7 linked regions of the Canis lupus familiaris genome follow. The protein of the gene in region 1 purifies or fractionates together with the protein of each later gene. This does not show direct contact. Links are inferred from orthologs where the notes say so. Each region holds a gene or a part of one and is shown in the gene's direction. Other genes may lie near its edges.

Region 1 (4,199 bases):
GCACAGCTCCTCAGAGCTCCTTTTTTGTTTGCTAGATAGGATGCTGGGCGATCCATAAATCCTTAAATAAAGCCAATTTGATCTTTAGATTTACTTGAATTTTTTTTTTTTTTAACACTAGGAAGCTCTGATAGCCCCAGCCAGCTGGTTGAGGTGCCTTAACCAGAGCTCAGCATCATAAAGTCCTTCGATGCAGGAGCTCTATTTTACTCATCTGTGAATAACACAGTCATTAGTTAAGAGCCTGCTTTGGATTCAGCCAGATTCTGGCTCGAATATTGACTCTACCACTTAATAACTGGATAACCTTGGCCACTTAACCTTCTCTAATCCTGTTTCATCGCCTGTAAAATGGGGATAATAAGCCTGACTCCACTGACTTGTGGAAATCAAATGTGACACTTGTATGTAATGCCCCTGGTACAGCTCAAAGGTCTCTGTGAGTGCTTGGAAGAGCAGCGCCTTCTAGCCAGCGAGGAGTGTGTGATCCCTGAAGAAACTGGGCCTGGGTCTCCCAGCCTGAAAGCAAAACTCCTGGGGATCCCTGGGTGGCTCAGGGTGTGATCCTGGAGACCTGGAATCGAGTCCCACATCAGGCTCCCTGCATGGAGCCTGCTTCTCCCTCTGCCTGTGTCTCTGCCTCTCTGTCTCTCATGAATAAATAAATAAAATCTAAAAAAAAAAAAAAAAAAAAAGCAAAACTCCTTTGCCACAGGCTGCCGAGGCCAGAGGCCATCAACGTTGGGACTGAACAGATAGTGTTGACCTCAAGGAAATGGGATTGGTTTTCATTTTATCTGCATTGTTTGAATTTTTACTTGGATTAAAAATACATGGAATTAAAAATAAATACTTTTTTGAGCGGGGGGGGTGGGGATAAAAATGCTGGTCTGGCAGCGTTTCTGGCTTCTTCATCGGAATCTTTTAGCTCTTTTAAGAAAGCAAGAGCGAGGAACAGAGGACACTAACTAATTAATTCCCCACCCTGCAGCCCCTATGCCCATAAGGACCTGGGGGTGGGGGGGGGGGTGGAAATAAATGTCCAAGAATCCTTCAGGGTTGCACCCAACCTTGCAGATTGCTTCCACGCAATCTACATATGTGGTCTCCCCGGGGCGTTTTATTTTGGGGTCAGCTTCCTCCTCTCCCTAACCGCCCCCCCCCCCTCCGGGGGGCAACGGTGGGCAGGCGGGAAACTGAGGCGGGGCCAGGCTGCAGCTCCGGGGCCCCTCGCGGCGCTCCTGCGGCTGCAGCGCCGCCCGGGAGCCCGCGTAGACCAGGCGGGCCGAGGGGCGGGCCCGGAGCCGCGGCCTCGCTTCCGCCCGCGCGGCGCCCGCCTCCTCCCGGCAGCTCCCCGGGCGGCCTCCGGGCCGGGCCGAGTCCCGCCAGCGCCGGCGGCATGCTGCAGAAGCGGGAGAAGGTGCTGCTCCTGAGGACCTTCCAGGGCCGGACGCTGCGCATCGTGCGGGAGCACTACCTGCGGCCCAGCGTGCCCTGCCACAGCCCGCTCTGCCCGCAGCCCGCCGCCTGCCGCAACGGTCGGGGCCGGGCCGGGGCGCGGGCGGGGCGCGGGGCGCGGGGCGCGGGGCCAGGCCGCTGCTCCCGGGCTCCGCACCCCGCCCCCATCAGGCGCAGGGCCCGAGAGCGCGGCGCCCCCACGGCCCAGGGGCCTGGCGATCGAGGCTTTCCGGGGGCGAGGGGGGTGATGGGGGGGGGACGTGGGTGCAGGGCCTGCCCCTGATGCCCCCCGGGACGGCGCACTGATGAAATGGGGGGTGCCGGGCGGTGAGAGGCGGGGCGAGGCACCGTGCTGCTGCTCCTTCGACACTTCCAACTCCCCACCAGTGTTAAAGATTCTATTTATTTATTTATTAATGAGAGACACAGGCAGAGGGAGAAGCAGGCCCCACCACGCAGGGAGCCCGACACGGGACTCGATCCCGGGTCTCCAGGGTCACGCCCTGGGACAAAGGTGGTGCCAAATGGCTGAGCCGCGCAGCCAGCCCGCATGCCTCAGACTGGGGGACAGCCGGCTGCCCTAAAATGTGTCGACTGTCTGGGCCTGGATGGTTGCACAGGAAGGCCTTGGGGACGTTGGATTTGGAGCCGCTGTGCGCTAACCTTCCCCGCCCCCCGGCTTGGTTGCTCAGCTGCAAGGGTGGCCCCGGGTTAGCTGGGAAGATCTCTCCCCTCCCTGGTGGGGGAGGAGCAGGGCCGTGTGTATGTGTATGTGTTTGGGGGATCAAAGAGGGGGGTCCTTCTCGGAGAGTATTTGGAATCCTCAGTTTGCAGCTTGGCTCACCCCGCTCCCGGAGATGCAGGCCGCGCGGAAAGCCTAACCCCTGCCCTTGCGTGCACTGAGCATCCTTTCTTTTTTTTTTTTTTTAATTTTTATTTTTTTTATTTATTTATGATAGTCACACAGAGAGAGAGAGAGAGAGAAGGCAGAGACATAGGCAGAGGGAGAAGCAGGCTCCATGCACCGGGAGCCTGATGTGGGATTCGATCCCCGGTCTCCAGGATCATGCCCTGGGCCAAAGGCAGGCGCCAAACCGCTGCGCCACCCAGGGATCCCTGAGCATCCTTTCTAGTCGATGCCGGCTTTCTGGCCCCTGGAGACTTCAGAGCATGTACACGGGCTTGATTAAGAACCCACTTGAAATTGCTCGGCAGAAACAAGTGGTTAACATATATATTTCGGGGGACCTCCCCCCGCCATTTGAATGTGAGTGTATGTCAGTCCCTTAACAAATACATATTTAAGGTGTGCTGAAGATGTTTGCTTTTTAAAAATTTCGTCTTCTGCACCACTGGCAACACCATAAACCACGCTGAGCTTTTCCTTTGCGTAGCTTCAGAAAAATGAAGCTGCTGGGTTTACCTGAACTTTGGACCTCTCCCAAAGCAGACGTGTCCTGTCCTTTAAAAACTTCAAGGTGAAAAAAAAAAAAAAAAACTTTAAGGTGTAGTTGAGACTGGGAGTTATTTTTGTAGAGTGCAGCACCTTGATGCTCAAATAGGAATAAGCCAAGTTTGCAAATGTTGTCTAATCGCTTACCTTTTGAATTATGTTTTAGATGGGAAACTCTTGTCTAGTGACGTGACTCATTACATGATCCCAGATTGGAAAGTTGTTCAAGATTACCTGGAGATCCTTGAGTTCCCAGAGTTGAAGGGAATTATTTTCATGCAGACGGCTTGTCAAACCGTGCAGCATCAAAGAGGTCGCAGGTATCCATTTTGCATTATTTTTTATTTCTATACAGCATATTTTTCTTTTCCCCTTTAGAAAAAGGTCCCTTGTTGGCGGGAATGGGGAGGAATTCGTTATTTTGTCAGAAAGGACTTTTTGAGCTAATTTGGTATTCTCTTCGCTGGTGAGGAATGCAGTGACATTATTTTATATTTCTGCTTCAACACCTGGCCGAGAGATCTGACTATAGATCAATAAACTGCAGTGTCCCTGGTATATGGGTATTTAAGATTCTTGGCTTTGGGTTTGCATTTATTTTTTAGATGTATTGTTTCAAAAGCCTACCCTTTTGTGTGTGTGTGGGGGGGGACTATTTTATTTTTAAATTTTAAACTGTTTATTATGGGTGTAAATTGTACTTGTAGTGATTTATTTATTTAAGGAAAGCAGAAATAACTTGCTTTATTTTTACATTACTAGTATAACTACCAACCATACTCATTGTATTTGCTAAACAAAGGACTTCTGATTAAAATCACTCTAAAATGATTGCCTTATACCTAAATGAAGAACAATTGTTCACCTTTTAGACAAATATCTAAAAAATGGCTTTGCCTCATTTAACATTGGTAAAGGATTTATGATTCGAACATGAAGACTGCATGGAAACAGCATATTGGAATTATACATCCAACCTCTTAACACCCCTAGTTATTTAAAGAGAAGAAACTGTGTGTTTACTCTTTTTTAAATGTGGTTTCTTCAGACTTTGGTGGTAAAAGATGAAGTATGTTTATTTGTGTGTGAAAATGATGAGTTGTCCTTACATGCTCAGTTCAAAAAAATGTACATTAACTAGATTGCAGATTTTTCAGATAGAATATTTTTAAATGAGTTTGAAGTTGATTTTGCTGAGACACAAAGATATAGATGTTTATTCACATTCGGGTTTGAATGCTGTTCCAGGTGTCGTATTTCAATTTCTGCTACTAAAATCAATTTGTTG
Region 2 (3,611 bases), on another chromosome or scaffold:
GGGAGCCCGACGTGGGATTCGATCCCGGGTCTCCAGGATCGCGCCCTGAGCCAAAGGCAGGCGCCAAACCGCTGCGCCACCCAGGGATCCCGATTCACCCGTTTTATTGCACAGTGGGAGCTGGCGGGAAAGGGGGGGCACACAGCCTGTGCACATCCCCAGGCCCCGGGCGGCACCTCCCCGACGCTCAGCCCTTTGGCTCCGCTTCCCACATTCGCCCTTGAAGCCCGGGCTCAGCAGAGCGGCCAAATAAGGCAGCTGGTGCGGGGCATGAGCATCCTGTCCGGGCGGACCGGGACGGGGAAGGGGATGGAGACTGGGATGGGGACGGGGACAGGACGTAGACGGGGTGGGGGGGGACGGGGACGGGGACGGGTCGGGGGGAGGGGAGCGACAGGGACGGGGACGGAGGGGCGGGGGACGTGGACCGGAACGAGGACGGGGACCGAGTGGGGGTAGGGGGACGACGGGGACCGGGACGAGGACGGGGACGGGGACGGGGAGGCGGGCGGGGGGGGGGGTTTGGTCGGGGGCGGTTCCACGGCGCTGGGCCGCCAGGAGGTGTCGGAACACGAGTCAGGACGGGGTAGGACGCCCGCGACGGCCACTCCTCGGAATCCCGCGGGGTTCTAGCCCGGCCCCGCGCGCCCTCGCCCCCGCACCCGGGCAGCAGCGGGGGAGCATCTGGGCGCGTCCACTCCGCGGGCGCCGAGCGGCCAACCGGAAACTAGTGGGCGTTCCCCAGGGTTATTGGGGCAGATTTCTCAAGGTCTTTTTTGAGTGAAAACCATTAAAGTGTATAAAATGCTCTCATTAAAATAACCGGAGTTCCCAATGCCACGCGGCTGTACAACCGCGTGTGCTCCCGATCCGTCTGCGGTTAGCGTGAGCGGAGAAGAGCAGACGGGAGCACTAGAGGGTGCGGGGGGAGGGATGGGGGGCGCGCGGGGCGCTGAGTAGGGCGTCAGGGGGCGCGGGCAGCGCAGGCGGGGGAGGGGCAGGGGGCGGGGCGGGACGCAGGCCGGAGCCCGCCCCCCCCCCCCCCCCCGAGACCCGGCGCAGGCGCGTGCGGCGTGACCCCGGGAGGCCCGGGGGCGTCAGAACCGCCCTGCGACAAGCCCGAGGGGGCGCGGCCGGCGAGTCTCCCCGCATCCGGTCTCCGCCTCTGGCAGCCGTGGGACAGCTCCCCAAACGGCCGCGGGCGCCGCCTGCCCCCGGGGAAACCGTAGTTCCCCGGGCCGGAAGTGGGTGTCGGACCGCCGGAAGCCGTAGGCCCCCAGAAAGCCGGAAGTGGGGTCGGAGCCGTCGGGAAGTGTAGTTTCGCGGGAGTCGCAAGCGCGGCCAGCCGCCGGAGACATGGCGGGCCTGGAGCTCCTGTCGGACCAGGGCTACCGGGTGGACGGACGGCGCGCCGGGGAGCTGCGCAAGATCCAGGCGCGGATGGGCGTGTTCGCGCAGGCCGACGGCTCGGCCTACATCGAGCAAGGCAACACCAAGGCGCTGGCGGTGGTCTACGGGCCGCACGAGGCGAGTGGGCGCGCGCGGGCGGGGCGGGCGGGGCTTGGGTTCCCCGGCGCTGGGGGTACCTGACCTCGTCCTCCCGGGGACGCCTTCCCGACCGCCTTCCTCTCCTGGGGAGCCCCTCCCCTGCCTTTCCGAAGCCCGTGGGCTCCGCGTTCGACTTCTCGGGAGCGGAGCGTCAACTCCATGAGCGGAGGGACTGTAGCTAAACCCACCTGCTGCTACTGCCTGGCGTCCACGCCGGAGCGGGGAGGATGGCTGGGGCACGTAGCGGGGCGCGTTCGCAGCGGCGGAGATGGGGAGCAACTCGGAACGAGGTTTGGGGGGCTCTAGGGAGGCAGGAACCCGCCGCGCTGTAGGCCAGGGACACGACTTAGGATTTCACGGGTGATGGGGAAGCTTTAGGAGGCGTCAGGACATTGACGCAGCGAAAGTGTATAGGAGATGACATCAACCGGGATATTTTTTTTTAAGCTTTTATTTATTTACTCATGATAGAGAGAAGCAGAAACACAGGCAGAGGGAGAAGCAGGCTCCCTGCAGGACCTCGGGGTCACACCCTGAGCCAAAGGCAGACACGCTCAACTGCTGAGCCACCCTGGCATCCCGAGCCTGGATATTTGTGAACACACCTGCTCTGGCCACGGATGGAGAATGGGTTAGCAGGGGACGAGGCAGGGATGGAAACAAGGAGGCCTGTTAAGAGAAGTAATATCAGACATGATGACTTGGAGACTGGCCAACTGGCCCTCCGATGGAGGTCCTCCTGCTTGCTTATGGAGATGCCGGAAGTAGAGGGAGGGTGACGGGAAGGCGTAGTGTCAGCTGTGGAGGGGTGAGCCTGACTCATGTGTCCTTCCTCCCCCAGATCCGGGGCTCCCGGGCTCGAGCCCTGCCAGACAGGGCCCTGGTGAACTGTCAGTATAGCTCTGCGACCTTCAGCACAGGCGAACGCAAGCGACGACCGCATGGGGACCGAAAGTCTTGCGAGATGGGCCTGCACCTACGTCAGACATTTGAGGCAGCCATCCTAACACAGCTGCACCCACGTTCCCAGATAGATATATATGTGCAGGTGAGCAAGCAGCAGCCATCAACCCAGGAAGGGAGGGGGAAGGAAGGGGAAGCAAGGATGGGAGTCGGGGGACAAGAGCCTAATGGACCGATGCCACTGGGCGGTACTTGCAGGTGCTGCAGGCAGATGGTGGGACCTACGCAGCTTGTGTGAATGCAGCCACGCTGGCAGTGCTGGATGCGGGAATACCCATGCGGGACTTTGTGTGTGCCTGCTCAGCTGGCTTTGTGGACAACACAGCCCTGGCGGACCTCAGCCATGTGGAAGAGGCAGCTGGTGGCCCCCAGCTGGCCCTGGCCTTGCTGCCGGCCTCAGGCCAGATTGCACTGCTTGAAATGGATGCTCGGCTACATGAGGACCACCTGGAACAGGTGCTAGAGGCGGCTGCCCGGGCTGCCCGTGATGTGCACACTGTGCTGGACCGTGTGGTTCGGCAGCATGTACGCGAGGCCTCTATTTTGCTGGGGGACTGAGCATCTGGCCCCCCATGCCCAGAATAAAACTCACATACAATCTGCTATACTTTAATTTCCCCACAGCACTTGCACACCCTCAGATCCTGGCCTGGTGCTTGCTCTGGGAGGTGACTAGGAACCGTCCCCATCCCCCGCACATGACATACCTTTTCCAGCTTCAAGACCCAAACCCTGAAGAGGAAGGTCGGGGAGCCTGTCTGCGGATGAACAGCCATCGTGCTAGGAAAGGTTCAGGCAGCTGAGCAGTGAGGCAGGGCCTGGCATAACGAGCCAAGCTGTGAGACGAAGGCAGTTCTCAGACCAGCACATCCACAGCCCACATCCTCTGGACTATGGCTTGGACTGCATGGCCCCCTCCACCCTGGGAGCCCTTTGGGCCTCCCTAGCCTTAGGCTCGGAAAGCACAACAAATGTTCTCCCCTGGGGTGGTGCGGAGGGGTGGGGAGTCTTCACACATATCTGCGGCGCTGCCTGAGCCCTCACCCGGGCACCTCCTGATCTGAATAGGATTCCCCACTTTCTAGTCCACATACCCCAGG
Region 3 (4,277 bases), on another chromosome or scaffold:
GTATTCATAATCCCAATGCTGTGACAGGCCCCCTAAATGTGGGTGCTGTGAGGATGGGAGGGGCTGAGGTTATGTCCATCTCTCTTGGGATGAAAGTGGATGATGTCAAGAGTACCCTACTCTTAGTCTAGGGACACTCCCAGGCCTAGCTCCCTAGCGGGCTGGGTTACCTTGGCTCACAGGACACTACTGCCCTCTTATGGCGGAGGCCAGACTCAACAGATGGATCTTCTCACCCTTCTGTAGCTCTCTTCCTCCAGGCAAGCGTCTGGTATGTGCATGCCCCATGGGGCTCCAGAATTTATATCGTTTACTGCCTTGCAGGATTGACAGGCATAGTTGGGAGCTTTGCTTAGAAAGAAATGTTGGGGTAGCCCAGGTAGCTCAGCGGTTTGGTGCCGCCTTCAGCCCAGGGCGTGATCCTGGAGACCTGGGATCGAGTCCCACATCAGGCTCCCTGAATGGAGCCTGCTTCTCCCTCTGCCTCTGTCTCTGCCTCTCTCTCTCTTTCTCTGTATCTGTCATGAATAAAGAAATAAAATCTTTAAAAAAATAAAGAAATGTTCTCTATTTGGAGACTAATCAAGCAACTGGTCTGATGGATCTTCAGGAGGCAGTGGACCTGATTTACTGAGCATAGTGTGTGTGGCTGATGCAAGTTATTTAATCCTCTTAAGGGTCTTTGTGCATAAAGAATCATCAGCTCCAATTCCCTGAGGTCGAAACGCAGTTTGTTGTGGATGCTATGAACCATGTAGGACAAGGAGAAGGGATAGGGTAGTGGGAGGCAGGGAGAAGGGAGGAGGCAAATGCTCCTATTGAACAGGACACGGAGATAAAGCCACGTATTCACCCTATAAAATACACCCGCCTTGCAAGCTTTGTATATTTTCTTGGGCGGGTTTCTTTTTAAGTCAGAGTAAATCAGCTCATTCAAAAGAAGTTATTAAGAACAGAACCAGCATCTGGAGTACTGTTTGGGGGTAGAGGTGGATGGTTGGTGCTGAAGGAGCACCCACGAGGAGGCAGTAATGCAGTATATTGGGGCTACGAGGAACAGTATGAAAAGGACCTCTTTTTTTTTTTTTTTTCCCAATGAGTGTTTTCTGTAGATGCCATCCCCAGTCTCCCGAGCTCTCTCATACCGAAGAATCACATTTTAGCAACTTAGAGTTGGAAGGTAACTCACAGGCCCATTTCTCAATTACCTCTAACCCTGGTAAACAATGAATAGGATGATGATTACGGAGAGATTTTTGGTGAAAAAAAATCGAACGCTCCGAAACCTGATATTTCATGGATCTGTAGGTGGAGCCTTGCCAATAGTAAAAATGGCAACTTGGCTCCCTCATTCCCTTCGTGTTAACCTAATGGTTGCCAAGAGTAAACATGGCCACCGAACTGTGCGTTCCCATTGGCGGCCGCTCTGAGACCCGTGCGACGGCCGGGAATTGCGGAGCCGGATGTCGCGATTCCAGGCCGAACTGCGCCTGCGCCATTCTTTGGCGCCAAGATGGCGATGGAGATGAGGCTTCCCGTTGCTCGCAAGCCTCTTAGCGAGAGCGTGGGCCGCGATACCAAGAAACATCTGGTGGTTCCGGGGGACACGATCACCACGGACACGGGATTCATGCGGTACGTGAGGACTTGGGGACTCGCGGCCCCAAAGGGCAGCTGCTGGGCTCTCTGCACGTGGCCTCTGTTCCCTTACATCTGAGCACCCGCCGGACGCAGGGCACAGTTGAGCATTCCCGCCCCCATGTTTGCAAGGCCTCGGGCTTCTTACTCTGCGCACCTTGTGTGTCTCCGTCTCCGTTTGCCTCAGTCCTTGGTAACCCTTCTGTCCCGACCACTGGTGTCAGGGACTCCTGGGTTCTCTGCTTGAGGCCCCGATCGCCTTCTTCGTGGGAAATCTGCAGAACTGGGGAAGGTTAGGAGCAGGGGCCTCTTTCCAGTGTTAGGAAGAGGGACCAGTGGGCATTCCTGACCCGGCCTCTTCTCTCGGCATCTGTTAGCCAGGTGCTCGGTTTTGAAAGCAGTAATTGTTTGGGCGTAGGGCATACACAATATATTGTGCTACATGCACCCAAATCTACACGTTGAACCTGAAGGCAGTACAATATGTGTAGTTGAGAGTGCAGGCTCTTGAGCCAGACAATTGGGGTTCCAGCCCTGTACCGTCACATATTTATAAGCTAAGTTGTATTTCCTCTCCGAGGTCAGTTTCCTCATAATGTATTATCACTGTGATAATAACAGTGACTATTTGATAAGAAAGTGAGGATTACATGAGGAAATAATTTAAGAAAAGAAGCGTCTCAGTCGGTTAAGTGTCTGACTCTTGATTTTGGCTCAGGTGTGATCTCAGCGTCCTGAGATGGAGCCTCTGCGCCCCCTCCCCGTCCCCCCCCCCCCCACGCTTGAGATTCTCTCTCCATCTCTGCCCCTCCTTTTTCTTTCTCTTAAAAACAAAGAAGCAAAAAAAAAAAAAAAAACAAAGAAGCAGAACTCACCATTATAGGTAAACACTAGTGGTATTTCAGCCTTTGGGTGGGGGGAGGGGTGTTACAGCATTTACAACATTGCTCTTGAACCTTTTAGTTTGAGGTTATTGGATCCTAAGGAATCTTAAGTGTCCTTCATTCATGAATGAAGTATATGTTTGTCTTATGTGCAGTTGGAGCAGGACTGTGACCAAAGTAGAACTCTCTCATGTTATTTATATTTCGAAACAGATAAACAGTAAGCAGGACAAACAAGTTAGTATGTTTGGTGATAAATTCAGTGGGGAAAATGGAAAGTTGAGCAGGGTAGGTGGAATGTGGTTGGAAATATTGTGGAGGTGGTGGCAGTGGGGTGGGTAACTATTGTAAATGACTTAAAAAAGTCAGATAGGCCAGATAGAGAAAGTGACATTTCAGTAGACTTGAGTAGGACAAGGGAGATGTCTGTGCAGCTCTTTAAAGAAGGAGTGTTCTGGGCAGAGAGACAAACCGGGCTTTAAAGGCAGGAGGAGCCTGTTAAGAACATATTGTTCTTGGGGACGCCTGGGTGGCTCAGCAGTTGAGCATCTGCCTTTGGCTTAGGTCATGGTCCCGGGTCCTGGGATCGAGTGCCACATTGGGCTCCCCATGGGGAGCCTGCTCCTCCCTCTGCCTGTGTCTCTGCCTCTCATTGTCTCTCATGAATAAATAAATAAAATCTTAAAAAAAAAAAAAAAGAATATATTATTCTTGGGGGGAGAGGTCAACTCTTACCATCGTATATTTTGTATCCTACTCTCAAAACAGGGGCCATGGAACTTACATGGGGGAAGAGAAGCTCATTGCATCTGTGGCTGGCTCAGTGGAGAGGGTAAACAAGTTGATATGTGTGAAAGCTTTGAAAACCAGGTGAGAACAAAAGGTGTGTATTCTCTTTCTTGCGCCATTCAGGTTACCAGCCAGGTCTTTTCTGCCACAAAATACCCCTTACCCCCACCTGCTTTATCATTTAGCAGGTCTGTGATTTTGAACATGACTATATAGAAAGGGTATAGGTGACTGTAGTTAAGTGTGGGCTTCCAAGGATCCCCACATTACTTGACCTCTCCAAACCTTGGTTACCTCCTCTGCAAATTGAGGGTAATAGCATGATCTACCTTGTAGGATTTTCACTAGAATTCATTGAAATAAGACATGTAAAGTACTTAGCTCAGGGCCTACTACCTAGAAGGGCTCAATAAAGGTTAGCTCCAGAAAGGAAACCGGTGGTTTTGGAACCTTGTGAGCAAGGGTGGGGGAATGCAGGAGAAGATGCAGGTAGAGAGCCGAGGTGGGCAGACAGCCTGCCTTGTAGCACAGATAGGCATTTTCTTTCTTTTTTTTTTTTTTTCCACAGATAGGCATTTTGACTTCCACTTTATGTAGTCTGGGATGCCACTGGGAGGGTGGAACAGAAGAGGGACATGGTCTGAATTTCTGTCTTAATAAATTCACTCTGGCTGCTAGGAGAGATTGAGGGGGAACACATGCTTAGAGAGACGATTAATGGACTGTTTTTATCATCTGAAGTGATGGTGGCTTGGACTAAGGTAGCAGTAGAAGTGGGTAGTAATGGCGGATTCTGCATACATTTTGTGTTCTGAGTTTTTTTGTTTTGCCCCCCCCCCCCTTTTTTTTTTAAATCATGTAAGTGTGTTGGGTTTAGTATTCTTTGGGATTTTCCATATATTGGACCATGTGTGTGAATAGACATAGTTTTACTTCTTCCTTTCCCAGTTTGGATGCCTTTTATTT
Region 4 (3,937 bases), on another chromosome or scaffold:
AAGCGCAAGCCTTTAGCACTGATCCCTCAGTAGCAACCACAGGCCATAGTGACATATGCCACCAGATTAGATGGGATTGAAGGCCACAGCACTCCCCTCTTTCCAAGGCTCTAAGTCACCATCTGTTTTCCTAGGGGAAACGATTGGTGAGGGCTGGAGGGTTTGCACAGGAGGGGACATATGCCAAAGTCACCAGAGGGCAAGAGAAACTAAGATGAAAGTCGTAGCAAATCTCATATGGACAAAGATGCTGTTCTCGGGATGTCTGCCTATCTTAAGCAGTAGCTGTCACTCATCGGTAAGAGCAGCATTCTACTCACGTGCAGACTTCCCTTCCGGACTAACATGCTCGAAAAAGAAAAAGTTATGAATGGGCCCACACGACCTGAGCTCCGCTTGAGAGGATCCGACTGCAAGACCTGAAGCTGCAGTCACAAAAATCCGGAAAAGGCTTTATTTCTGAATGGGGTGGTGTGGTCAAAGTGCGATAGAAGAAGTAAAAAAAAAAAAAAAAAAAAAAAAAAACCTTGGGTTCCGGTTTGGGCTCTACCTTGAACTGTCTTTGAGCCACTGGACAAGTCAAATCCTGTCTCTGGATCTGAGTTTCCAAATCTCTACAATGGGCAAGTTGGGTTGGCTAACCTCCTTCCAGCTCCAAGCGTTACAGCTGCCCCGAGAGTGCACTCCCCCAGGCTTGTGCAGGGCACGGCCGTGCAGGGCGCGACAACGAGAGAACAGGAACCTGAGCTCACGAAAAGGCCCCAAACAGGCCCCGACCCTACAAAAAAGGGCAGGACTGGGGAGCAAAGGCCGCGGCTCCGCTCTTACCTGCCGCCTGCCGACTCCCCAGTCAGCCAAATGGAACCCCGCAGCCTCCGCCGCCGCTCACTGCCACCCCCGCCAGCTCTGCAACCCGGCCGGGCCGGTCTCAGTCCAACCAACCATCGCCGGCCACCCGAAGAACCAGCCTGCAGACTGGGACCCGCTGCCAGCCCATCCTGGACCACAGGCGCAAGCGCAGGCGTCCCGGAGCCCCGCCCCCGCCCTGGTCCCGGAGCAACCTGGGAAATAAAGTTTGACGGAGGAGGTGCTCCCGAAGACCACGTGATAATTCGCACCAATTGGCGCGTTTCTTACTGCAGAACTGCTCCTGAACTTTGGCCAATGAGAAGCCGACTTCGTTTCCCTCCAGTGGCAGTCATGGCGCCGCCCGTGAGGTACTGCATCCCGGGTAAGTGTGCGGGGACCGAAGCGAATTCTGGATGGGACAGGGAGGCAGGAAGGCTGCATGACCGACACCCTCTGAAGACCCATGACTGATGCAGCGTTTCTCTTCAGGCGAACGTCTGTGTAACTTGGAGGAGGGCAGCCCGGGCAGCGGCACTTATACTCGCCACGGCTACATCTTTTCGTCGCTTGCTGGCTGCCTGACGAAGAGCAGCGAGAATGGCGCGGTAAAGGGGGCTGCTTCCCATTTCCTCCTTCTCTGCTTTTCTTTTAGGCTGCTTTTGATTTCGCGGTCGATAGGAAAGGGCACTGCGGACGCGTCTTTAGGACCTCAGCAGAACAGCTGGTCTCCGAGTTTCTTCCAGCTGAGGTCTCCACTGCTGGGCACCTCGCCACCACAGGCCAGATGTGGTCCCGCTTGATTCTGTTGCTGACATTCGGGGAAGGAAGTTAGGGGACGAGCAGAGGCGGGTTCCGCCTGCAGTGAGCTGAATCTTGTCCGGATGTCGCCTCCCTTTCTGGTTTCATCTTGCTCCGCTATTCCCACCCCACTCTGCAGTCTAGTCACACAGGCTTCTTTGTCGCTGGTGGGGTAAGCTCTCTTCTGCCACAGAACGATGAACACGCTGTTTGTCACGCGCCCATCTCCTCCTTAGCCTCTTTAATTCCCACCTACTTTTCAGATGGCCTCTCTAGTGTCACTTTTATCAGAGTAGCCCTCCTAGACCCACTAGTCAGGGAAAGGAGTTTTGTGAGCTTTTATTTTTCGTTTTGTTAAACTCTCACAAAGAACTAAATTTCTTTCCTCTGTGTGCTCTTCTTTGCATAAAATTAAGCATTCGGTTACCTGTTCCTCCTAGACTCTTCCCTTATTAGACTCTAAGTTCCACGAAAACAAACCTTGCCACCATACCTTTAGTGCTGAGCACAGCAGCCTATGCTCAATAAATGTTTGTTGAATGCTTAACACTGATCCAGGATTAGCCCAGGATCGGATAAACAGTCTTTGAAGGACCCCCTTAAAGACAGGGAGCATTAATAGAGAATTCAGAATTAGAACATTTAGGTACTGGCTAACTAGACCTTGTTTCTGCTTTAGGTTAGAAACTTGATCTCTCTGGTTTTAGTTTTTGCTCAGATGTAAAATGAAAGACTTTTTAATCAATTTTAAGACTGTAACAGTTCTAAGTTTGTTCGTTTCATAGAAATAGATATCTATTGAGCATTTTCATGTGCCAGGCACAATCTTTACCTCTAAAGATATGGTAATGAGCCAAATACACATGATCCCTGCTACCAAGGGACACAGACATAAATTACAAACAAGTAAAGGTTCAAATTGGTTTATGGCTACAAAAGTCATGACTGTTTTTGAAAGAATATTACAGGTTACCATGAGAACATGTAAAGGACAAACCCATTGTAGTCAACAGAAGTGATGTTTAACCTGAATCTAAAGGATAAAGAAGAGTTGAGTGGGGAAAAAAAAAAAAAAAAAAGAGTTGAGTGGAGAGCACAGTCCTGGGAGAAAGAACAGGTTGAACACAAATCCTGAGATGGGAACATGTTTAGTGCGTTAGTGAAACTGAATGAAGGTCCGAAAACTGAAGCATAGGAAACAAGGAAGAGGCAAGTAAAAGATGAGGTTCAAAATATGTCTTGGGGTGCCTGGGTGGCTCAGTTGGTTGAGCGTCCGATTCCGGATATCAGCTCCGGTCATGATCTCAGGGTCCTGGGATTAAGTCCGGTGTCAGTGCCCCCTCCCCCCCTCAGTGGGGAATCTGCTTGAGATTCTCTCCCTCCCTCTCCCCACTTGCGCATGCTTTCTCTCTCTCTCTGAAATAAATCTTTAAAAAATACATATTTTATACCAATAGCCAATACCATGCTCAAAGGGAAAGCTACAAGTATTCCCTTAAAATAGAAAAAAATAAAGTATGGCCATTATTATATAACATTTATTTGGAAATTCTAGCCAGTACAATAGAGTGAAAATCAGAAGGAAGTAGTAGAACTTTGAAGAGAAGAGTCAAGTTATCCACAATTGATTATATACCAAGAAATTCCAAGAAAACCACAAAAAGAAAACTTGTTAGAACTGTTCTGAAATGATTAGATTATGTCTTCTGGTAGCATCTTTCTTTTGAAAAATGGCCCCTTGACCTTCCTATTTGCCTTAAATTTCTAAGACTGTCTGCCCTGGGCACATATGAGTCTGTAGTCCATCTGTGCTTGTGATCTCAGCTGTGGACCAAAGCATTCCTACATTATTCTTAAGCCAGATACCTTTATGGAAGGCTTAGTCAGGATCTCACATTTTATTGTTCTGTCTATAGCTTCCTGTGATTTCTGTGATGAGAGAAACAGAATCTCAATTGCTACCAGATGTGGGGACTATTGTAACCTGTAAGGTAAGTAGGTCTTAACCTCCCTTCTTAGGACACCTGTTCAATGGTGAAATCATGATCATTGTGGAAGTGCTCTGTCTTATGTGGCAGTCACTAGCCATATGTGGCCATTTAATTGAAATGAATTAAAATTGAAAGTTCATTTCCTCCATCTCACTAGCTACATTCCAAGTGCTCACGTATAGTTGACAGCTGCCTTGTTGGCCAGCACAGAACATTTTAATCATCACAGTGTTACTGGACTGTGCCGGCCTAGAAAGTTCTGGGATAGTGATCAAGGCAGCCAAGTTCAAGCATGCGTA
Region 5 (4,161 bases), on another chromosome or scaffold:
ACTCATCCTATCTCATTTTTTTTGACTCTCGATGGTCCTCCTGATTGAAACACTTATCCTTTCCTCCAGGTTGATATCATGGCTGCTCCTTGTCATCACTGACAATTCCCTTAACTCAAATGCCACCTCTACAAAACTTCTTCCTGCAACTACCCCTATTAAAATAGCCACCCCATTCTCAGATGGCATTCAATATCTGAACTTGTTTTTTTTTTTTTAAAGTTTTTATTGTTTGTCTCTTCTAAAAAGAGAATAGAAGTTCCTCGAGGAAACAGGATTTTGTCCACCACTGTTCTCCAGCATTTGAATTATTCTTGGGACATAGAAGCGCATCCCCCCACCAAAAAAAAAAAAAAAAAAAAAGAATTTATTGAGTATGTGGATTGCAAGTGCTACAAACTGAGACTACAATGTCATCACCCTTAGGGGAAAAATCTTGTAAGATGAAACAAAAGTAGTGGACTGGAACCTGAAAAGGAATCGTAGTGCCTATTACCTCTGAAGCAAATGTCAACCACATAATATGCAAACACTTGCATAGGACTTACTCGTTCCAGACACTGTTCTAAGCATTTTACATGTGTTAACTCGTTTTCATCCCTCATAATAAATAGGCGTATCACTCCTACTTTGCAGATGAATAATGTGAAGCCCATACACTAACTCGGCCAAGGTCGCAGACCTGTTAGTCAAGGGCAGAGGCAGAATTTCAATCTGGATCGTCTGGAGTTCCTGCTTTTAACTATTTCTCGGTACCGCCTCTCCAAAAAAAAAAAAAAAAAAAAAAAAAAAAAAAATGCCAGGTGGTCGGCGCGAGCATCCGGTTCCTCTATGCCCATGAAATTAAGTTTATCAGCTTGAAATAACTGCGGAGACTGAAAACACACACACACACACACTTAGTCAAGGCTAGCGGGGATTATAACGCTGTTAGTTACAAAGTGGTTAATATTCCCAATTCTTGTCAACTCCTCAAGTCTACGAGATTTCACCTTGAGCCCGCAGTTAATACCCCCCTCACCCCAGTTTCTCCTCCTCCCCCCCCCCTTCGCGCGTTCGCTCCGGGGTTTCTCCTCTGAAAACGTTTACAGACTTGGCCTCTGCAGCTTCCTAGCGGCTGAATCCCAAGTTCTTCATCTCTGTGAGTAACAATACCTGTCTAGCTACCCCGTTAGAACTGATGAAACGGTGGAATGTGAAAGCCCCATGCGGATATCGACTTCTATGCCTGATAGTTACACCTGCCTCTCCGCCAGCGCGCTCGCCTCTCCCACTCTGCTCTGCACGCGAGCGCCCGCGGGCCTCCGCGCTTGCGCACTGGGGCGGCCCCCGCCTCGCCCCTCCTCAGCCGCCGAGCTTTGATGACGTAGGTTTCCTGCGCGTCGGAGCCCGCGGGGCGCGCGTGAAGGGGGATCCAGATCACTTCTCCCAGCGGATTCCGGTGCTGGTGTGTTCCGTGTGCCTGCAGCATGAAGGAGACACCACTTTCAAATTGTGAGCGCCGTTTCCTACTCCGCGCCATCGAGGAGAAGAAGGTAAATGGCCCCGGAGAGCTTCGCGGTGCGAGGGCGGTCTGGTCGCGCGGCCGCCGGCAGCCTTCCGGCTTGGACCAACCGAGCTGGCAGTCGCAAGCGCGGGGGTGGGCGGGGCGGGGGGTAGAGAGGTTACGGGGTGGCCGAGGGGGGTCCGGGGGGGCGGAGGGGTGAAGGGTCCAACGGAGCTGGCCTTCGCAGGCCCGGGGGTGGGTGGTAGGAAGGTTACGGGATGGGTGAGGGGGGGTCCAACGGAGCTGGCCTTCGCAGGCCGGGGGGGAGGTCGGGGGGGGCGGAGGGGTGGGGGGTCCAACGGAGCTGGCCTTCGCAGGCCGGGGCGGGGAGGTTAGGGGGGGCGGGAGGGCGAGGGGGGGTCGGGGGGGGCGGAGGGGTGGGGGGTCCAACGGAGCTGGTCTTCGCAGGCCGGGGGGGAGGTTAGGGGGGGCGGGAGGGCGAGGGGGGTCCGGGGGCGGAGGGGTGAGGGGTCCAACGGAGATGGCCTTCGCAAGCGAGGGGGGGGAGGGGGGGAGATGGGGGGGAGGGGGGGAGATGGGGGGGAGGGGGGAGGGGGGGAGAGGGGGGGGCGGAGGGGTGAGAGGGTCCAACGGAGCTGGCCTTCGCAGGCCGGGGGGGAGGGGGGACAGGTACGAGGTGGGGGGAGAGCCCCTGAGGGGAAATGCCCCAATCCCTCAAGTTTTTTTTTTTTTTTTTTTTTTCTTGGCTCCGGTTGGGTTCAAGGCTGGAATCACACCAGCAACTATTAGTGCTCAGGGACCGAGATTCCACTTTCCGATGGGATGGGGGAGTGGTTAGGAATCGCCGCCGCGCCCCCCCGCCCCATGTTTAGCTCCGGCATAGAGTAGCTGCTCAATAAATACTTGTTGAAGGAATAAATGAATGAATGTTCTGCTTACAGCGGCTGGATGGCAGACAAACCTATGATTATAGGAACATAAAGATCTCATTTGGAACAGATTATGGGTGCTGTATTGTGGAGCTTGGGAAGACAAGGTAATAAAGGATTCGAATTAGATGAAAGCCCAACAGGGAGAATTTTAAAAGAACCTTACTGAATCAGTTGTTTACAAAGCAGCTAAGAAGTGTGCACAGACTTCTTTGTTTTGCTGCCAAAATAAGTATATTTTCTTAAATGCGAGAGTTTTGCGGATTTATAGTTCACATTTAAGATTTTTAACCATAAACGTATTTTTTGTTCCATGAGTATCATAAAATGTATTTTTCATCCCATGAGTATCACGTAGTTTTCTGATCTCTTCAAGCCAGCAGTAATTGCCCTGAATTTGTTTCCTGTACTTCCCATTAAATGGTCCTACTTTTCTCATTTTCCTGACATGAGAATTAGGTTTTTAATATTCATTTGGAAGCTGTAAAAATATTGTTCAGGTAACGTTAGCTAGCCATGCCATATGAAAACTCTTAAGAAATCTCAAGTTTTCATGCCATCTTGTGTTGATAAATAGTTGTTTTACAAAAGCAAAGATCATTGATTTTTAAAAATAAAATCTATGGAATAGTATTATAGGAAGAGTTTTTTTTTTTTTAAGATTTTATTTATTTATTCATGATAGTCACACAAAGAGAGAGGCAGAGACACAGGCAGAGGGAGAAGCAGGCTCCATGCAGGGAGCCTGCCGTGGGATTCGATCCCGGGTCTCCAGGATCACACCCTGGGCCAAAGGTAGGCGCCAAACCGCTGCGCCACCCAGGGATCCCAAGAGTTGTTTTTTCGTACCATCTTTTTGAGTACACCAATATGTGTTTTATTTCTGTATATATTCTAAACTCTATTTGTGATTTCAGCCTCTAATAGTACATCATACTGAGTGTGTGATTACTCAGAGTAAGATCAAAACTTAATTGGTATCTGTTTTAGGTTAATTTTTAATTGGAAAGGAGATATATTTAGTTAACAGATTTGTGCTTTATCTTTACAGAGTTCTTGGACAGGTTTCCTGTGAACTTGTTTCTCCAAAACTCAATAGGGCAACAGAAGGTATTCTTTTTTTTAACCTTGAACTCTCTCAGATGGCTGCTCCAGCTTTTGAACCTGGCAGGTATTTAAACCTTTTTTTTTTTAAAAGCTGCTTTAGCCAGAGGAGAACCTAACAGCAGTGAGCTATTGTTTTAATGCCTGGTGTTATATTTCATGACATTAGCCCATTCCTATTTTCATAGGCAGTCAGATCTCTTGGTGAAGTTGAATCGACTCTTGGAAAGATGTCTAAGAAATTCGAAGTGTATAGACACTGAATCTCTCTGTGTTGTTGCTGGTGAAAAGGTGGGGAATATGCCCAAAATTCTTAATCTTAGGCTGAGTATTGTTGATTCATGGATTCCTGTATCTGTACTTTTATTCTCAGAGCTTCTGTTAACTTAGTTTTATACTGATTCACTTCACTTAAAATGTTCCTGAGTGCTACCCATAGAATTTTATGTCATCTCTCTCTGAAGAGACAATAAACCTCAGTGAAAGTATCAATCTAGATGTGTATAAAAATGTGTTATTTAAAGAACTTGTGGTTTTTCATATATTCTATTTTCTTATGTTCTTTGGGTTGATAGAAGCAGTTAATGTGTTCCTTTTTTACGAATGAAAGAACTGAAGAAC
Region 6 (3,302 bases), on another chromosome or scaffold:
GGGAAGCATCCTTCACTTACCCAATGCATCCGTCCAGCCAGCTCTCCACCTGCCATGAGGACATTTGGATCTTGGGACCTTTAAACAGCCCTGTCTGTCCTAACCCAGCAGTAACTGGAACTCACGCACCTGGGAGCTAGCCTGTGACTCATTGCTCACGTTACATTTCTGCCCTGAGCCCTCCCTACATACCAGCACCATGTCTAAAACCACTACCCCAGGATTGCTATTTATCATGACAATGCTCGTGTCTGTAGATAAGAGTTCTTTTAGGCCTCTCTGCTGCAGAGAATAAAAGGACTATGTGCAATACTCAATGATGCTATGTGATCTCTTAACCCCCCACCTCTCATAGGAGCCCCCTGTGTAATAGCCTATGGCCCCAACTGGCTTCTGGTTGTGGTCCTCATCGAGTCCAGCTCAACTCCTGAACTTTGGGAATGGCCTCTGGATTACCTGAAGACATTGGTGAAGGTGGCCCATAGGATGGGGAGTTGAGTGGGTGAGATGGAGAGAGTCATTAGTCATTCAATAGAAGATGGGCCATGGGGTTACTGGAAGCACTTTATAGGAGAAGCTCTCCCATTCTTAGGCCTGTGTCCCTCTTCCTCTCCTTTTTGATGTTGAGCAGTCAGGTGTGAGATCAGAGGTGTTCTTAGGGTGCATTAGGTGACTACCCCTTTCCCTTTGACCCATCATTGCTGGTTCCCTGACCCAAAGATGGATAGGATCGATCGGGACCTGCCCTGGTCCCGAATCCCTTCACTCAAGTCTGAAGACAGCTGGGTTTGGAAACTGTTCGCTGGGGAGGTTAAAGGTTCTGCTTGTTTGTGCTAGCTCTGGCTGATTTCGTGTTCCCTGGGTACAACAGTTGGCAGTGGGGCCCAGGTTAACTAGTCCCGCTGACAAGGAAGGAGGCGAGCAGCAGCAGAGGCTACCTGCTCTGGTCACCAGCCTGGGGGTGAGGGCCCGTCCTCGCCGGGAGTGAGAAGCAGCAGGGGGACATGGTTCAGCAAGACGTGCCAGGTGAGGACTCCTAGGGGTACGGAGTGTACACAATCCAGTGCAGGAGAGAGAATGTTCCATTCAACAAGCGTTACTCCTGCCAGGGCACTGAGGAATGACCATGTCTTGGGCAAGACGGGAACACGTAGGAGATGGTCACACGTGTAAGTGCAAAATAATTTCAACCTTTACAAGTGAAAGGACGCAGATGTGCGCCCTGGGGTTGCGCTGGCCCGAGAGGCTAGCGTTCAGGCAGGCCGGCCCGGTCCCCCCGTCGGCCCACCCCCTCGGCCAGGGACCTCCCGGCGGCCCCGCGGCGGCCCCGCGGCTCGGCTGTGGTTCCTCCGGGACGGCAGGGGGCGGGGCGGCGCCGGCCGCCGCTATCCCGACAGCCCTCGCGCGGGCGCGCGGCTTTAAGCGGGCGGAAGCGCCGGCGCCGGGGCCGAGGGGACGGGCGGAAGCGGCTCGCACGCCAGGCGCCGCCATGCCCGGGGACCACCGCCGAATCCGCGGGCCCGAGGAGTCGCAGCCGCCGCAGCTGTACGCGGCCGACGAGGACGAGGCGCCCGCGGCCCGCGACCCGACGCGGCTGCGGCCCGTGTACGCGCGCGCCGGGCTCCTGAGCCAAGCCAAGGGCTCGGCCTACCTGGAGGCGGGCGGCACCAAGGTGCTGTGCGCCGTGTCCGGCCCGCGCCAGGCTGAGGGCAGCGAGCGCGGCGGCGGCCCGGCCGGAGCGGGCGGCGAGGCCCCGGCCGCGCTGCGCGGCCGCCTGCTCTGCGACTTCCGCCGCGCGCCCTTCGCCGGCCGCCGGCGCCGCGCGCCCCCGGGCGGCGGGGAGGAGCGCGAGCTGGCGCTGGCCCTGCAGGAGGCGCTCGAGCCGGCGGTGCGCCTGGGCCGCTACCCGCGCGCGCAGCTCGAGGTGTCGGCGCTGCTGCTCGAGGACGGCGGCTCGGCGCTGGCCGCCGCGCTCACGGCCGCCGCGCTCGCCCTGGCCGACGCGGGGGTCGAGATGTACGACCTGGTGGTGGGCTGCGGCCTGAGCCGCACGCCGGAACCCGCGCCCACCTGGCTGCTGGACCCCACGCGCCTCGAGGAGGAGCGCGCCGCCGCCGGCCTCACCGTGGCGCTCATGCCGGTGCTCAACCAGGTGGCCGGGCTGCTGGGCAGCGGGGAGGGCGGCCCGCCCGAGAGCTGGGCCGAGGCGGTGCGTCTGGGCCTGGAGGGCTGCCAGCGCCTCTACCCCGTGCTGCAGCAGTGCCTGGTGCGGGCGGCCCGTCGGAGGGGCGCCGCCGCGCCGTCCTGAGCCGGGAGCCCGAGCGACCACGGACGCCGAGGACCGAGCTGCCCCCGTCCCCCGAAGGACCCTTGCCGTCCGCTGCCAGACTGCGCGGCGCGGAGAACTCCGGGCGGGAGAGGATCCGACGGGGCGTGCACAGCGCCGGACGGCTGTGTTGGGACGGCTCTTGAGAGACTTCTGTTAAAGAAACGTTTCTACTTGAGCAGGTGCTTCCCAGCTACGACCCAGGTGAAGAAACTTGCGAATGCAGCTTGCCTCCCAGGTTGGGAAGGACTTCAGCTGGACTCATCTGGAGGACGGGACTTGGAACTGTTGTAAGGGATGGACCCTGTGCAGGCCAGCTAGTGACTCCCTTCTATAGACTTGGGCTGCTTTTGAGAGAATGGACAAGGGGGCTGTGCCTTCTCATTTACATCTGAGCTAAAACAAACTCCTTTATATCTGGAAAAGTCTATCGTGGTTCATCTCGGTAGTGAATTTAAAAGAACAAGGTTCTTTTGTGCCCTGTAGTCGACTCCTGGTGTCAAGGGGTTGGGGACAGCATTGTCTTAAATGTGTCCTGTTCCTTAGACCAACATAAGCAGAAAAGACTGGCTGAAACTAAAGGAGGTGCAGGAGTTGGTGTGGGGAAATGTGCTTTGAAGGAGGTGAAGGTGCCCCTAGAGTAGCAGAGTTGGCCATTGCCAAGGTGACAACAGTAGGGAAGGTTGTGTGGGCCCAGGAGCACTCTGGGTGTACTCTGTGGCCTCTGGTTTGGTGCTGGGCAAGACCACAGCTCAGGTTTGGGTAGGTGGAAGGGGTTTGGCTCTGGGTGGAAGCTAGAGGCCTCCCCCACTGCTGCTAAGAAGTAGGGGTCCAGGCTGCCTTTTTTTTTTTTTTTTTTTTAATTTAGAGGCATGCAAGGGGGTTGACAGTGGGGAAGAAGAGAGAAAATTCCACACAGACTCCATGTTGAGCGCAGAGCCTGATGCTGGGCTTGATCTCATGATCCTGAGATCAT
Region 7 (4,051 bases), on another chromosome or scaffold:
GGGCCGCACGCGGCTGGCGGGGTGGGGGTGGGGGAGGGGGAGAGACACCAAAGGCGACCTTCCCGCGCGCCCCGCCCCTGGACCCGCCCCGGGGGGCGTGTCAGGAGGAACCCACGCCCCCAGAGCCACAGCCGGCCACTTCCGACCCCAGCTGCGGATTTTTAGGAGACTGCCCACCCCTGGAGCTTGGGGTTTCGTCTCTTTTTTGGGGGGGGGGGGTTTCGTCTCTTGACTAGAGAACCAGTCAGGAGGTACCCACGTGCCACCCCTATCGGGTGGTGGACTTTGAAGGCCTCTTTAGCCAGGTTTGGGCCAAGTATTTTTTCCAAAGACTTCTCGATCAGCATGGGGTGCGGGAGGGACCAATCCTGGGACCACTCCCAACCTCTCTGTCCAGCCCAGACCAGAGGCCATTGAGCTCCCTTTGGGCATGGCCTTGGGCCAGCCACCATCTAGGCGGCCTTGGTCATCGAATACCTACTGGTTGCAGGTCCTCTAGTGCTGGGTTGGAGTGGGAGGAGGGAAAAAAATCTGCACCATCCCTCCTGCCAGGATAAACCAATCAAGATAGGCTTCTACAACACTCTGACTGCAAAACAAGAAAAGTTACGTTTCAGTTGGCCTCTTAATACGCTTACGCAGTCAGCTTGCCAGCACTTTGCCAAATATGGAAGGTAAGTTAGAGGTGATCTGTCTTAAACGTCCCCCAAAACTAAAAATTCACGTTGGAAGCCAGTGCCTCAAAGGGAAAGGCAAAGCCAAACCCTCCCAGTCCCCCGGAGCTCTCAACCCTGCTGGGGAATTTGACCAACCGCAAAGTGGAAATCCTGGTGTACAGAGGAACCTGGATTTCAAGTAAGAGCAGTCCTGATATTCTATGGATTTGGAATCCAACTGCTCACCTGGTCAACTAGTGTGTCTCAAGGAATGTAGCTACAAGAATCTGATTGCAGTTACTGATTTCCCCAGGCCATGTAGGGGTAGGTGAATTATGTGAAAATTCACATGCGTATGTGTATATTTTCAGGGGGAAAAGGTCTGCGGAGAAATACACACTAAAATGCCAATATGCACTGATTCATCAGGTCCTATCTATTTAGGTGACAGAGACTGGGCGACACAGAATTATCTGGCGGCCTAGCAGGAGACAAATGGGGGCAAGACTAATACCTCTTATTTTCTTTCTAGTCTCTGTTTTCCACAGTGTGAATTGATATCTTCTCTAGCAACCATAAAAACAGGTTTTATTTAGAAAAAGGAAAATGCTTTTCCTTCAGAGGGCTGAGTCTTGGAAGGAAAGGATCAATCCCGAAGCCCCTCGGCTCGGTCGTCGAGGTTCCCACGGAACCACACTTGGGAGCGTCTTGTATCCAGCGGTGCAGCCCGAAACAGCGGAAGTGAGGTATTTGCCATCGACTTAAGCCGCGTGTTTCTCGTACTGATCCGCAGAAAGACCGCAAGAAAGGTGACGGGCGGGAGATATTACCGCAGCCACCTTGGCAGGACCCCCGCCCACAGCTCTCAGGTTTCAGGGACGCAGATGGTTCGGTTCCTATAGTCCGCTACTACCGGAAACGGAACGCCTCGGGCAGGCTGGCGATTGGACGCGGGGCCGGAAGCGGAAGCTGAAGGTTGCGTGTGGAGGTTCGCGGTATGGCTGAGGCGGTGGGTGCTGCGGCCGAGTCTCTGCCGGGAGACCGGGCGCGTGCGGCGCGCACCGTGCTGGATCAGGTGGTGCTCCCGGGTGAGGAGCTGCTGCTGCCGGAGCAGGAGGACGCTGAAGGCCCAGGGGGTCCTGGGGAGCGACCGCTGCGCCTGAATGCGGGGACGCGCTCCCGGGGGCGCGTCGTGTGCGGCCCGGGCCTGCGGCGCTGTGGCGACCGCCTGCTGGTCACCAAGTGCGGCCGCCTCCGTCACAAGGAGCCCGGCGGCGGCAGCGGCGGTGGCGTTTACTGGGTGGACTCACAGCAGAAACGGGTGAGTTGGGGGACTCCGGAGAGGTGGTACGGCCGTGAGGGGGATATTCTCGCTCTGCATGGGGCCCTGGACCTCTTCTCTGCGAATGCTGGTCCAGAGCCACCGTAATCTTGTGCGCACCGCTGCATTCCCCTCAGAGGGACTGTGAGCAAATGGAGCGTGGCCCGAGAAGGAGACAAAGGAGACTGGAAATCTTGGCGTCTAAGAGGATAGGGATTGTGAGACAGGGTCATTGCCTACAGAGTCTCAAAGGTCAGGGAGCACCAGAACCAGGCTCAATAAGAGGATGTAACAGGGAGTTAAATTTCTCTTAGAGTAGGTAAGAACTTTAATATGGGAAAGTTTGTCTAGCAATGAAATAGCCTTTCTTGGTTGTAAGGACCCCGTCCCCTGTACCATTGGACTTCATATGCCAGCAGAAGCTCTAGGAAGTTTTTTTGTTTTGTTTTTTAAGATTTTACTTATTTATTCATGAGAGGCAGAGACACAGGCAGATGAAGAAGCAGGCTCCATGCAGGGAGCCGGATGTGGGAGTCGATCCCAGGACTCCAGGATCAGGCCCTGGGCGGAAGGCCGGAGCCAAACCGCTGAGCCATCCAGGGATTCCTGCTCTAGGAAGTTCTGATAAGGAAATAAGAGGTGTGGGATACTGGCTCAAATGAACAGAGTATTAAAAGCTGTAAACCTGAGAGTTTATGGTGTGATTTTTTTTTTCTTTTACTGAGAGTAACATCACATTTGTTGTTGATTTGTATTAATTTGTAAACTTGAATTTCAAAATATTTTTTAAATAACTCTAATGACCACTAAGGACTTATTAAAGATATCTTCCAAGATACCTTGGAAATGATTGTCATCTATGACTGTTCTTTCATTCTGTTTTCTTCTGTAGTATGTCCCCGTGAAAGGAGACCATGTGATCGGCATAGTGACAGCTAAGTCTGGAGATATTTTCAAAGTTGATGTTGGAGGGAGTGAGCCAGCTTCTTTGTCTTACTTGGCATTTGAAGGTGCAACTAAAAGAAACAGACCAAATGTGCAGGTAATGATGGGAACTTTTGGTTTCAAAAAGAAGAAAAGCATACGAATATCCAGAAACACTCAAATAACCAAAAGGCTACCTAAATTGTCTCCTAAGCATGACCTATTTTCCTAGCTCTATGGGGTCATCTCTGAGCGTCTGTGTAATCACTTTGGGGTCCAAGAGTTCCTTCCAGTGCTCCAGCTCTAACCAGAGTCACATACTTATTTTACATTTGCTATATTGGGGGCTGTTTCATCTCTACTGAGTTGAAAGGTTATATTTGTTCTTTCTATTGTTTTTTGTTATGTCCATATCCACTGGACAAGGAAGTAAACCATAAGCTGGGGAAGAAGGAGGAGTAGATGGTGCAAATTGCCATATCAGCCATCTATCCATCCTGATTGACTGGCATCTCACAACTTCAGTCACATCACCATTTCCCAACAGCTTTGATTCTGTCTCTGATATTTTGCATGTTCATCCCTGTATGTCTCCATATTGCAAGTTCAGACCTTAGCTATTTTTTTTACCAGACTTGGTCAGTGACCTCCTCATTAACATCCCTGCCTCTACACTTGCCCTCTCAAAAGCCAACAGCCTCACACACTCTCCTTTCTCCAAAAGAGGAAAAAAAAAAAGTTTCTTTGAAGCCTATAGATTTCATTGGCATTATACTCCAGAGGTCCTTTCTTGTCTATAATTGTATCTATGCTTGAACTATCTCAAACTATTTATTTATTAACTAAAGATTTTATTTATTTATTCATGAGAGATACAGAGAGAGGCACAGAGCTAGGCAGAGGGAGAAGCAGGCTCCTTGTGGGGAACCTGCATCAGCAGGGCTCGATCCCAGGACCCTGGGATCACTACTGGAGCCAAAGGCAGATGCTCAACCACTGAGCCACCCAGGTCCCCCTATCTCAAACTATTTAATAGCACTACTGAATTCATAAGTCCCTGCTCTTGTACCTTTGCTTGTGCTGTTCCCTTTATCTGGATTGCTCTGTCCCCTTAGCTTATGGAACATCTCATCTTTTGAGAACCAGGCTA

What was found.
Region 2: the proteins of DIS3L (region 1) and EXOSC4 purify together in Homo sapiens (affinity purification with mass spectrometry; 5 studies listed by BioGRID and IntAct, with this or other methods). This does not show direct contact. The link is inferred for Canis lupus familiaris from reciprocal best matches to the Homo sapiens genes DIS3L and EXOSC4.
Region 3: the proteins of DIS3L (region 1) and EXOSC2 purify together in Homo sapiens (affinity purification with mass spectrometry; 5 studies listed by BioGRID and IntAct, with this or other methods). This does not show direct contact. The link is inferred for Canis lupus familiaris from reciprocal best matches to the Homo sapiens genes DIS3L and EXOSC2.
Region 4: the proteins of DIS3L (region 1) and EXOSC1 purify together in Homo sapiens (affinity purification with mass spectrometry; 4 studies listed by BioGRID and IntAct, counting the BioPlex papers as one, with this or other methods). This does not show direct contact. The link is inferred for Canis lupus familiaris from reciprocal best matches to the Homo sapiens genes DIS3L and EXOSC1.
Region 5: the proteins of DIS3L (region 1) and EXOSC9 purify together in Homo sapiens (affinity purification with mass spectrometry; 3 studies listed by BioGRID and IntAct, with this or other methods). This does not show direct contact. The link is inferred for Canis lupus familiaris from reciprocal best matches to the Homo sapiens genes DIS3L and EXOSC9.
Region 6: the proteins of DIS3L (region 1) and EXOSC6 purify together in Homo sapiens (affinity purification with mass spectrometry; 3 studies listed by BioGRID and IntAct, with this or other methods). This does not show direct contact. The link is inferred for Canis lupus familiaris from reciprocal best matches to the Homo sapiens genes DIS3L and EXOSC6.
Region 7: the proteins of DIS3L (region 1) and EXOSC3 purify together in Homo sapiens (affinity purification with mass spectrometry; 6 studies listed by BioGRID and IntAct, counting the BioPlex papers as one, with this or other methods). This does not show direct contact. The link is inferred for Canis lupus familiaris from reciprocal best matches to the Homo sapiens genes DIS3L and EXOSC3.

What each region holds. Positions count from the first base shown.
Region 1 is NC_049251.1:31,034,316-31,038,514, forward strand, and holds the start of DIS3L (DIS3-like exonuclease 1), read left to right. Parts: upstream 1-1,399; coding exon 1,400-1,538; intron 1,539-3,077; coding exon 3,078-3,231; intron 3,232-4,199. UniProt on the Homo sapiens protein: Catalytic component of the RNA exosome complex which has 3'->5' exoribonuclease activity and participates in a multitude of cellular RNA processing and degradation events.
Region 2 is NC_049234.1:38,326,332-38,329,942, forward strand, and holds EXOSC4 (exosome complex component RRP41), read left to right. Parts: upstream 1-1,133; 5' UTR 1,134-1,356; coding exon 1,357-1,527; intron 1,528-1,587; exon of another isoform or gene 1,588-1,775; coding exon of another isoform or gene 1,776-1,838; exon of another isoform or gene 1,839-2,217; intron 2,218-2,389; coding exon 2,390-2,596; intron 2,597-2,709; coding exon 2,710-3,069; 3' UTR 3,070-3,111; downstream 3,112-3,611. UniProt on the Homo sapiens protein: Non-catalytic component of the RNA exosome complex which has 3'->5' exoribonuclease activity and participates in a multitude of cellular RNA processing and degradation events.
Region 3 is NC_049230.1:53,364,602-53,368,878, reverse strand, and holds the start of EXOSC2 (exosome complex component RRP4), read left to right. Parts: upstream 1-1,477; 5' UTR 1,478-1,513; coding exon 1,514-1,635; intron 1,636-3,290; coding exon 3,291-3,392; intron 3,393-4,277. UniProt on the Homo sapiens protein: Non-catalytic component of the RNA exosome complex which has 3'->5' exoribonuclease activity and participates in a multitude of cellular RNA processing and degradation events.
Region 4 is NC_049249.1:10,920,242-10,924,178, reverse strand, and holds the start of EXOSC1 (exosome complex component CSL4), read left to right. Parts: upstream 1-1,137; 5' UTR 1,138-1,164; coding exon 1,165-1,231; intron 1,232-1,338; coding exon 1,339-1,454; intron 1,455-1,501; exon of another isoform or gene 1,502-1,819; intron 1,820-3,563; coding exon 3,564-3,638; intron 3,639-3,937. UniProt on the Homo sapiens protein: Non-catalytic component of the RNA exosome complex which has 3'->5' exoribonuclease activity and participates in a multitude of cellular RNA processing and degradation events.
Region 5 is NC_049240.1:19,160,748-19,164,908, reverse strand, and holds the start of EXOSC9 (exosome complex component RRP45), read left to right. Parts: upstream 1-1,361; 5' UTR 1,362-1,469; coding exon 1,470-1,535; intron 1,536-2,448; coding exon 2,449-2,543; intron 2,544-3,487; coding exon 3,488-3,607; intron 3,608-3,728; coding exon 3,729-3,831; intron 3,832-4,161. UniProt on the Homo sapiens protein: Non-catalytic component of the RNA exosome complex which has 3'->5' exoribonuclease activity and participates in a multitude of cellular RNA processing and degradation events.
Region 6 is NC_049226.1:76,859,546-76,862,847, reverse strand, and holds EXOSC6 (exosome complex component MTR3), read left to right. Parts: upstream 1-1,489; coding exon 1,490-2,308; 3' UTR 2,309-2,802; downstream 2,803-3,302. UniProt on the Homo sapiens protein: Non-catalytic component of the RNA exosome complex which has 3'->5' exoribonuclease activity and participates in a multitude of cellular RNA processing and degradation events.
Region 7 is NC_049232.1:54,409,432-54,413,482, reverse strand, and holds the start of EXOSC3 (exosome complex component RRP40), read left to right. Parts: upstream 1-1,251; 5' UTR 1,252-1,653; coding exon 1,654-1,977; intron 1,978-2,869; coding exon 2,870-3,019; intron 3,020-4,051. UniProt on the Homo sapiens protein: Non-catalytic component of the RNA exosome complex which has 3'->5' exoribonuclease activity and participates in a multitude of cellular RNA processing and degradation events.